2 linked regions of the Ovis aries genome follow. The protein of the gene in region 1 interacts with the protein of each later gene in a biochemical or structural test. Links are inferred from orthologs where the notes say so. Each region holds a gene or a part of one and is shown in the gene's direction. Other genes may lie near its edges.

The links. The genes of interacting proteins can lie anywhere in the genome.
Region 2: the proteins of MAGEF1 (region 1) and NSMCE1 form a complex in vitro, tested with the Homo sapiens proteins (2 studies listed by BioGRID). The link is inferred for Ovis aries from reciprocal best matches to the Homo sapiens genes MAGEF1 and NSMCE1.

Annotation. Positions count from the first base shown.
Region 1 is NC_056054.1:203,287,747-203,291,153, forward strand, and holds MAGEF1 (melanoma-associated antigen F1), read left to right. Parts: upstream 1-1,244; 5' UTR 1,245-1,412; coding exon 1,413-2,336; 3' UTR 2,337-2,849; downstream 2,850-3,407. UniProt on the Homo sapiens protein: Enhances ubiquitin ligase activity of RING-type zinc finger-containing E3 ubiquitin ligases. Proposed to act through recruitment and/or stabilization of the E2 ubiquitin-conjugating enzyme at the E3:substrate complex.
Region 2 is NC_056077.1:25,353,836-25,358,250, reverse strand, and holds the start of NSMCE1 (non-structural maintenance of chromosomes element 1 homolog), read left to right. Parts: upstream 1-1,514; 5' UTR 1,515-1,640; intron 1,641-1,676; exon of another isoform or gene 1,677-1,806; intron 1,807-4,415. UniProt on the Homo sapiens protein: RING-type zinc finger-containing E3 ubiquitin ligase that assembles with melanoma antigen protein (MAGE) to catalyze the direct transfer of ubiquitin from E2 ubiquitin-conjugating enzyme to a specific substrate.

The DNA of each region.
Region 1 (3,407 bases):
TGGGAGGGATTGGGGGCAGGAGGAAAAGGGGATGACAGAGGATGAGATGGCTGGATGGCATCACCGACTTGATGGACGTGAGTTTGAGTGAACTCCGGGAGATGGTGATGGACAGGGAGGCCTGGCGTGCTGCAGTTCATGGGGTCGCAAAGAGTCAGACACGACTGAGCGACTGAACTGAACTGATGGTGATTCTGAAATGGCAGTAAATAACTAAGGAAGGCTTGAAAGGAGAGAGAGAAGTGGAGCCAGAGGAGGAAAGGGGAGGAAATGAGAGAAGAGGGAGAGACAGCAGGGGAGGAAAGAGGAGGAGAGAGGAGGAAGAGGTAGAGGAAGAGAGGGAGGAGGAGCTGGAGAGAAAGGGGGTTGGGAGACAGACTGGTAAAGGTCAGAGCAGAGCAGGTAAAAAGAAATAAATAATGGGAGTAATTAAGTTTGATTAGGTTAGAAACAAAACCCCTCCCCTTTCCTCCAGTTAGTTACTATTTCTGCCAGCTGTACCTTGACATCTCTTTTATCATCTTCTTTGACTCCTGTAGAATCTGCTATCCTTACCCTCTCGTCATCCATTTTACAATACTTATGGAGTGCCTCTATGTGCTGGGCACTGTTCTGGGCACTGGGGATAATGCCAATGAACAAGGCAGGGCACATCTCAGTTCCTATTCTGCACTATAATAATGCCAATACTCCAAGCTAGATTCCCAGCTTTTGGTCAGCCCTTCTCCAATCCATACTCCACAGGGCCACCAGAGAGACTAGATGATACAGATCCGGTCCGGACACTCCCTTGTTTAAACAGATTTCAATCTCCCGAGCATCGTGTTCAAAGTCTGTCACGAACTGTCCCGCACAGCCTTTTATCTCCCAGGCTTTACCTCCATGCAGACCGCACTTGTGACACAGTGAATCACTCAAAATCTTAGACACGCGCACTTAGAAATAAGCACCTGCTGAAGGGACGTGGCTAGAACTCCATCCCTACTTCATCCTTCTACACTGAAACCTTAGGATAGCCTGGTTGCTCCCGCCTCCAGCCTGTCAGACTAAAAGTCAGCCCTGACTCCTCCACAGCCTGGGCATCCTGAGAAGCCTGTGAGCACTCCTACCCCAGCGGGAGCCGGAAGAGGACGGGCTTCGCGCGGCCTCGGGGCCGCCATCTTGGCTGAGTTGGCCGGAAGAAGTCTGGCAAGTCGGCCAGCGAGTGCGCACTGAGGCTGCGCGGTGGCCGCGTCGCGGCAACCGTCCCGAGCCTTCTGCGGTGCAGCCCAGCAGCCGCAAAACCCCGTGTCATCTCTCCTAGTCCTCCTGCAGCCGCCCCAGCCGCTGTCCAACCCCTCCACCGGGGTTTGTGCAGCGGCTCGCACACCCCGCGGCCCGCGTACGCGCTCTGCACCTGCCTGCCCGAAAACATGTTGCAGAAACCCGAGAGCGGGGCTCTCCCCATCCCTCAGGCGGAGAGGGAGATGGATGGCAGCCATGACGGTGAGACCCAGCCTCTGACCGCCTCGCAGGAGATGGCCCCGAGCCCCCTCCTGCAGGAGAGCCCCGAGGAGGACCTTGGCGCTGTAAGGGAGGAGGGGGCTTCGGAACCCTCTCTCACCCCGAAAGGCGCGAGGGCTTTGGCAGCCAAAACCTTGGCCCGGCGTAGAGCCTGCCGCCGTCTGGATCGGACGGTAGCCGAGTTGGTGCAATTTCTGCTGTTGAAGGACAGGAAGAAGAGCCCCATCACTCGCTCCGAGATGGTGAAATACGTTATCGGAGACTTAAAGGATCTATTCCCTGAGATCATCGCAAGGGCCGCAGAGCATCTGCGGTACGTCTTCGGTTTCGAGCTGAAACAGCTTGACCGCAAGCACCACACTTACATCCTGATCAACAAGCTAAAACCTATTGAGCATGAGGAGGAGGCTCTGGGAGGAGATGGCCCCAGGTTGGGTCTCTTAATGATGATCTTGGGCCTTATCTACATGAAAGGTAATAGCGCCAGAGAGGCACAGGTCTGGGCGATGCTGCGTCGGTTGGGGGTGCGTCCCTCAAAGTATCACTTCCTCTTTGGGTACCCGAAGAGGCTTATTATGGAAGATTTCGTGCAGCTGAGATACCTCAATTACAGGCGTGTGCCTCACACCAACCCACCGGAATGTGAATTCTCTTGGGGTCCCCGAAGCAACTTGGAAACCAGCAAGATGAAAGTCCTGGGGTTCGTGGCCAAGCTCCATAAGAAAGAACCCCAACACTGGCCAGTGCAGTACCGTGAGGCCCTGGCAGATGAGGCTGATAGGGCCAGAGCTGGGGCCAGTGTGAGGGCTAGGGCCAGCACTCACCTCTGGTGAGGGCCAGCTAGGGGTGGGGGTGGGACGATATAAAAGCTACCGTCTGCGTCATAAGTAGACTCGGTGGGGAGAGGGTCTTTATTTCTGTAGCATTTGTGTTCGTGTAACTAGGATTTAGTTTTTGTATCTTGCTCGGTTTTGCTACGTTTAATATACTGTTAAATTGATGTTTATAAATGAAATTCGTCTACTTTTTCCTGTAGGATTTTGTTGTAGATTTTTGCTGGTTTTGTAAAATGAATTGAAAAAACTTTACATTTTTTTCTGTGGTCTTGAACAAATTATGCAGCACCAAATGATGTATTTAAATAGTTTGAAGGAACTCAGCAGTATAATGATCTGGTACCAGGGGAAAAAATAGCTAAATGGTATCTAGCTTTCTAACAGTTTTTGTCTATTGTATAAAGAAAAAAGACTGACATGTAACTCTGCTTAGTTATTATAATATCTGGTGGGGGGGATGCAATAAATTAGAGGTATAACCTGGTACACATAATAAACATTTGTTAAGCATCTTTGTGTGATGCACTGTTGTGGGTATTTGGGAATTAAAGGGCTTCCCAGGTGACTCAGGTTAAAGAATCTGCCTGCAATGCAGGAGACCCAGGTTCCATCCCTGGGCTGGGAAGATCCCCTGGAGAAGGGACTGGCAACCCACTTCAGTATTCTTACCTGGAGAGTTCCGTGGACAGAGGAGCTTGGAGAGCTACAGTCCGTGGGATCGAAAAGAGTTGGACATGACTGAGCAACTAATACACACATGCTGAGCAAGATAAAGGTCCTACTCTTCACAGCTGGACAGTAAATAAACCAGAAATTATAGTACAGTGAGTTGAAGGCTACAGTGGGACACCCAGCCCCATTGGAGTGATTGAGTGAGGCTTGCCTGAAATTACCTTTAGTGGGACTTCAGTGTAGGGAAGGTGAAAAGACGGGGGTGGGGGGTCGGGGAGAAGTTGCAGTGAGGAGATGGTATTAAAAATGACTACTTAAGATGCTCTTTAGTTACATGGGATGACTTGATAGATCTGGAAAACAGCCACCTTTGGCCAGTGTACTTGGCCCAGGGCT
Region 2 (4,415 bases), on another chromosome or scaffold:
AAAAACTTTGCAGAGTAAATAAAGCTTAGATGTTCTCATGAGGGTTGTTCTTTTCTTATTCGACTGCCCCTAAGGCAATTTATAAGGTATGCTTTATTAGTAATGAAAATTCACATTTACTGAGGGTTTACTCTGTGCCAGACACTCTTGTAAGTGGTTTGCATTATTAACTCATTCAGTCTTCACAACAACCCTATCAACAAAGTGCTATTATTATCCTGCTTTATAGAAGGAGCAAACTGAGGTGGAGAGCAAAGTACCCAGGTACTTTGCCCTGGGTCTCAAGAGGTTTTAAGCAGGTTTCAAATCCAGATGGCCCAGCTCTGGAGCTCAAGCTTTTAACCACTATACTTTACTGCTTTCCTCCCCTTGTAGATGAGGGAACTGAAGTCCAGAGAAACTGAGAAGTTGTCCAAGATCACAGGAGTGGAAACCCCTCAAGAAGTGACTTGAAGCTATCATCACAGGGATAGACACTTGTACTTTCTACTGGTCTGTCATTAGTTACCTGTTGCCCCTACTAGACTGCACGGCTAGCACTGAGACCAGGGACAGGAATACAAATATTTGTAAATATGAGTGTCCAGGAGATGCAAAACAGTCCTTTCACCTCTGTTAATAACGTCATTTACTTCTCACAACAATCCCCAGGTAAGACAGTAGTTAACATTTAATCACTTCCGTGCGTCATTATCGGAGAAGGCAATGGCACCCCACTCCAGTACTCTTGCCTGGGAAATCCCATGGGCGGAGGAGCCTGGTAGGCTGCAGTCCATGGGGTCGCGAAGAGTCGGACACGACTGAGCGACTTCACTTTCACTTTCATGCACTGGAGAGGGAAATGGCAACCCACTCCAGTGTTCCTGCCTGGAGAATTCCAGGGACTGGGGTGCCTGGTGGGCTGCCGTCTATGGGGTCGCACAGAGTCGGACACGACTGAAGTGACTTAGGAGTAGCAGTGCGCCATTATCGCTTTTAAACCTCACAAACACAGTTTCATTGGTACTATTATTATCCCCATTTGACAGAATAAGAAACTGAGGCTCAGTGCAGCTCAGTGACTTGCACAAGATTCGGCAACCAGTACGTGGCAAAGCCAGGATTCTAGTTTAGGCTATTTGACAACAGAGGCCTCGTTCTTGACCATGGGGCAAACACTATCTGTTCTAAAGATGGGAAACTGCCCCAGGACAGAGCATTAAGCTGTGCCCGTGGAATCGAACCTACTACGTAGGGCACACAGCACTCTTTTCCTTCCTCTTCTTGGGCCGCGGGGTGCCACTGTGAGGTGGAAGGCGGAGGACGAGAAGAGGAAGCCCTTTCCCATAAGGTACAGAGAGTCGCTTGGGATGCTCTAACTCCGGACCTAATTGACAGATCCCGCGGCACCATGGCAACAGCGCGGGCTGCAGAACGGAAGTGCGTCACCCTATGGGAGGGCTAGATCTGCGATGGCAACCAATGGGAGCTCCACATCCGCGTTCGCCCCGCCTAGAAGGAGGGGCCGAACCCTCCTTTCTGCCTTCGTCGTCGTCTGTGTGGACTGCGCTTGGGCGCTGTGGTGGGTAATCTGGGCGTCCCGGCGGGAGGCTGAAGGGAAAAGAAAACGGCCGCCTCGAAAGGCGAGGGGCGGGCAGCAGGTGCGGTCAGGCCCCGGGGTCGGTCCCGTGGTGTGGCACAGTGTGTCGCCGGGGTCCGGGGGCCTGGGGCTTCTCAGTTCCTGGTGGGGAAACTGAGGCCCCGAGAGGGGCAGGCTGGAAGCTAGGCCCTTACACGGAGACAGACGTTTTAAAGTCGTAATATTAGGTGAGGAAATACTTTAAATCAGAATATTAGTTGTAAAAGCGAAATACAAAATTGACTAATCTGAATAAGTACGGCCTTCCACTGACCATGCTTTCGGTGTTGACAGCCTCTGCTTCCCTACTATTTTGGGTACAGAACTTATTACCTTGTACAAGTGCGCAGCTCCTTATTTCAGAGCCCTGAGGCTACATGTGTTCAGAATGCCGAATTTCTCGAGTTTTCCAAAGGTAATGTACATGCATTGTAGGTCCTGTCATATCTTCAGCAGGGTCTTGAGCAGTGTCTTGTAATCAGATACTTTTTTCACAGCTAAATATATGCGTATGTACACATATATATAGGGGGTAAGCAACAACCCTAAATAACCTCACCTTAGGTTAGATCAGGTTTTCAAACTTAAAAGAGTTGGTTTTGAGAGTGTGTTCGATTTGAGAATTGCAGAGAAGGGACCTGGATGATAATTTTATTGTTCACTCATATTTCTTGAATATTTGAACCGAGGGTGTCAGAATTCCTAACTGCTTTTGTATGGTCACTCCCTGTCTCCATTACTAATTCTGTTGCCTTCTACCCTCTCAGCCTCAGGTTCCTCATCTGTAAAATAGGATCATGCTTTCTTCATAAGATTCTGACAAGGATGAAATGAGACTGCACGTGAAGCGTTTATACTGTGTCTGGCACTTGGCACAGATGGTTATGTTTGAGATTTTCTTATTCCACAAACTTTTCTATTTATAAATTACTTGGGTAGGTAATACATATCCATGGTTAACCCCTGCCCCCTTCATAGAGGCAACTGACTTCAATGCACAAACAAGCCTTTTTTTTTATTAAGATAGTAACACACAACTATAAGTTTGAAGAACAAAAGTACAATGACCATCCACCACCTAGTTAAGAAATAGAACATTATCATTTTCTCAAAGCCTACATTGAATTCTTTTCTTCCCTCCCGGAAGATAACCACTGCCCTGAATATTGTGTTATCATTCCCTTGTTCTTCTTTGTAGTTTTTAGTATTATCTCATTAATGCAATGCACGGATTTGCTAGTTTTTAGATTCTATATAAATGGGATCCAGATATATATTTTGTGAGTTGATTCTTACACATAATGTTACGTCTAAGAGATGCATCCATATTGCCATGAGTAGCTCTACTTCATTGCTGCTTTGAATTCCATGGTATGTTTATAAATGCCTTTATGTAGATATTCTTGAGTTGAAACTGTTGCCAGATTTTTGCTATTACAGCATGCTACTTTTACTTTAGGAAGTTTATAAACGTACTTCCTGAGGTAAATGTGAAAATTTCTGTAAGGCATATACCTAAGAGTGGTTTTGTGGGGATATCAGATTTGCTAATGTTATCAAATAAACATCTGAAGTAATTAGAAGGGCTTATACTCTACCAGCAGTTGATGCAAGTTTCAGCCTCAACCATTTTTAAGAATGTATGCCTGTCTGGTGATGGATAAGACATTAGTCACTGTGGTTTAACACTTATTTGCCTGGTGCGAGATTGAACGTTTCTTATCTTAATTTATTAATCACTTGTGCATTGTCTTCATAAAATTCTCCATGTTCGTTCTTCCAGTTGTCTTCCTCTTACTGGTTTGTAGGAGTTTTTTTTTTTTTTTTAATCTCATTATGGATCTTTTGTGGTTTAAATGTGTTTCAAGTATCTTCTAGTTTGAGCTTGTCTTCTGTTTCTGACTCCCGTGCTTTCTGTTTTTGGTGAGCAAAGTTCTTAATTTTAACAAAGTCGATTTATCAGTGTATTGTATGGTTTGTTTTTTTCATATCTTTTAAAGAAGTCCTTTCCTACCTTTGGGTCCTAAAGACAAACTCCTGTGTTGTCTAAAACTTTTATAATGTTCCTTTCTTATGATCTTAACCCTCAAGAATTGATTTTTGTGGATACTGTGAAATAAGTGTCTAATTTTATTTTTATTTTGTTCATGTATGTATAATGGGCTGTCCTGGCACCTTTCATTGAAAAGTGCTTTTCCCTGAAGTTCCATTTCTGCAGCATGCCAAGTATCCATATATATACCCTTTTCTATTCCTTAGTTGTCTGTTCTATTCCATTGGCCTTGTTTGTCCATTTCTGTACTATTACCACAACTTTATTATTATTATCACACTGTATTCATTACTCTAGCTGTATATTAAGTCTTGGGACCTGGTATGACAAGTCCTCCAGGAATGTCTTTGCTGTTTTGTGTTTACATTTTCCATATACATTTTAGAATCATCTTGTCAAATCACACACAATCATGCCCACCAAGCCTGTTAGGATTTTGATTGGAATTGTTTTGATTCAGTTACATTGGATCACTTTGAATTTTAAAGTAACTGCTTTTAACTTTTCATCCTTAAGTGTTCTGTGTGCTGTGGTTTTTGTAGATGTCATTTAGTAAAGGAAGTTTCCTTTTATGCCAAGTCTGTTAAAAGAGTTTCTATATGAATGAATGTTGAATTTTATCAGCTATTATTTTCTGCATCTATTAGGATGATTGTGTGCTTTTTCTTCTTTATTCTACTAATATGATTGTTGATATTGTTCAGTTGCTAGGTCATGTCCAGCTCTTTTGCGACCCCATGAACT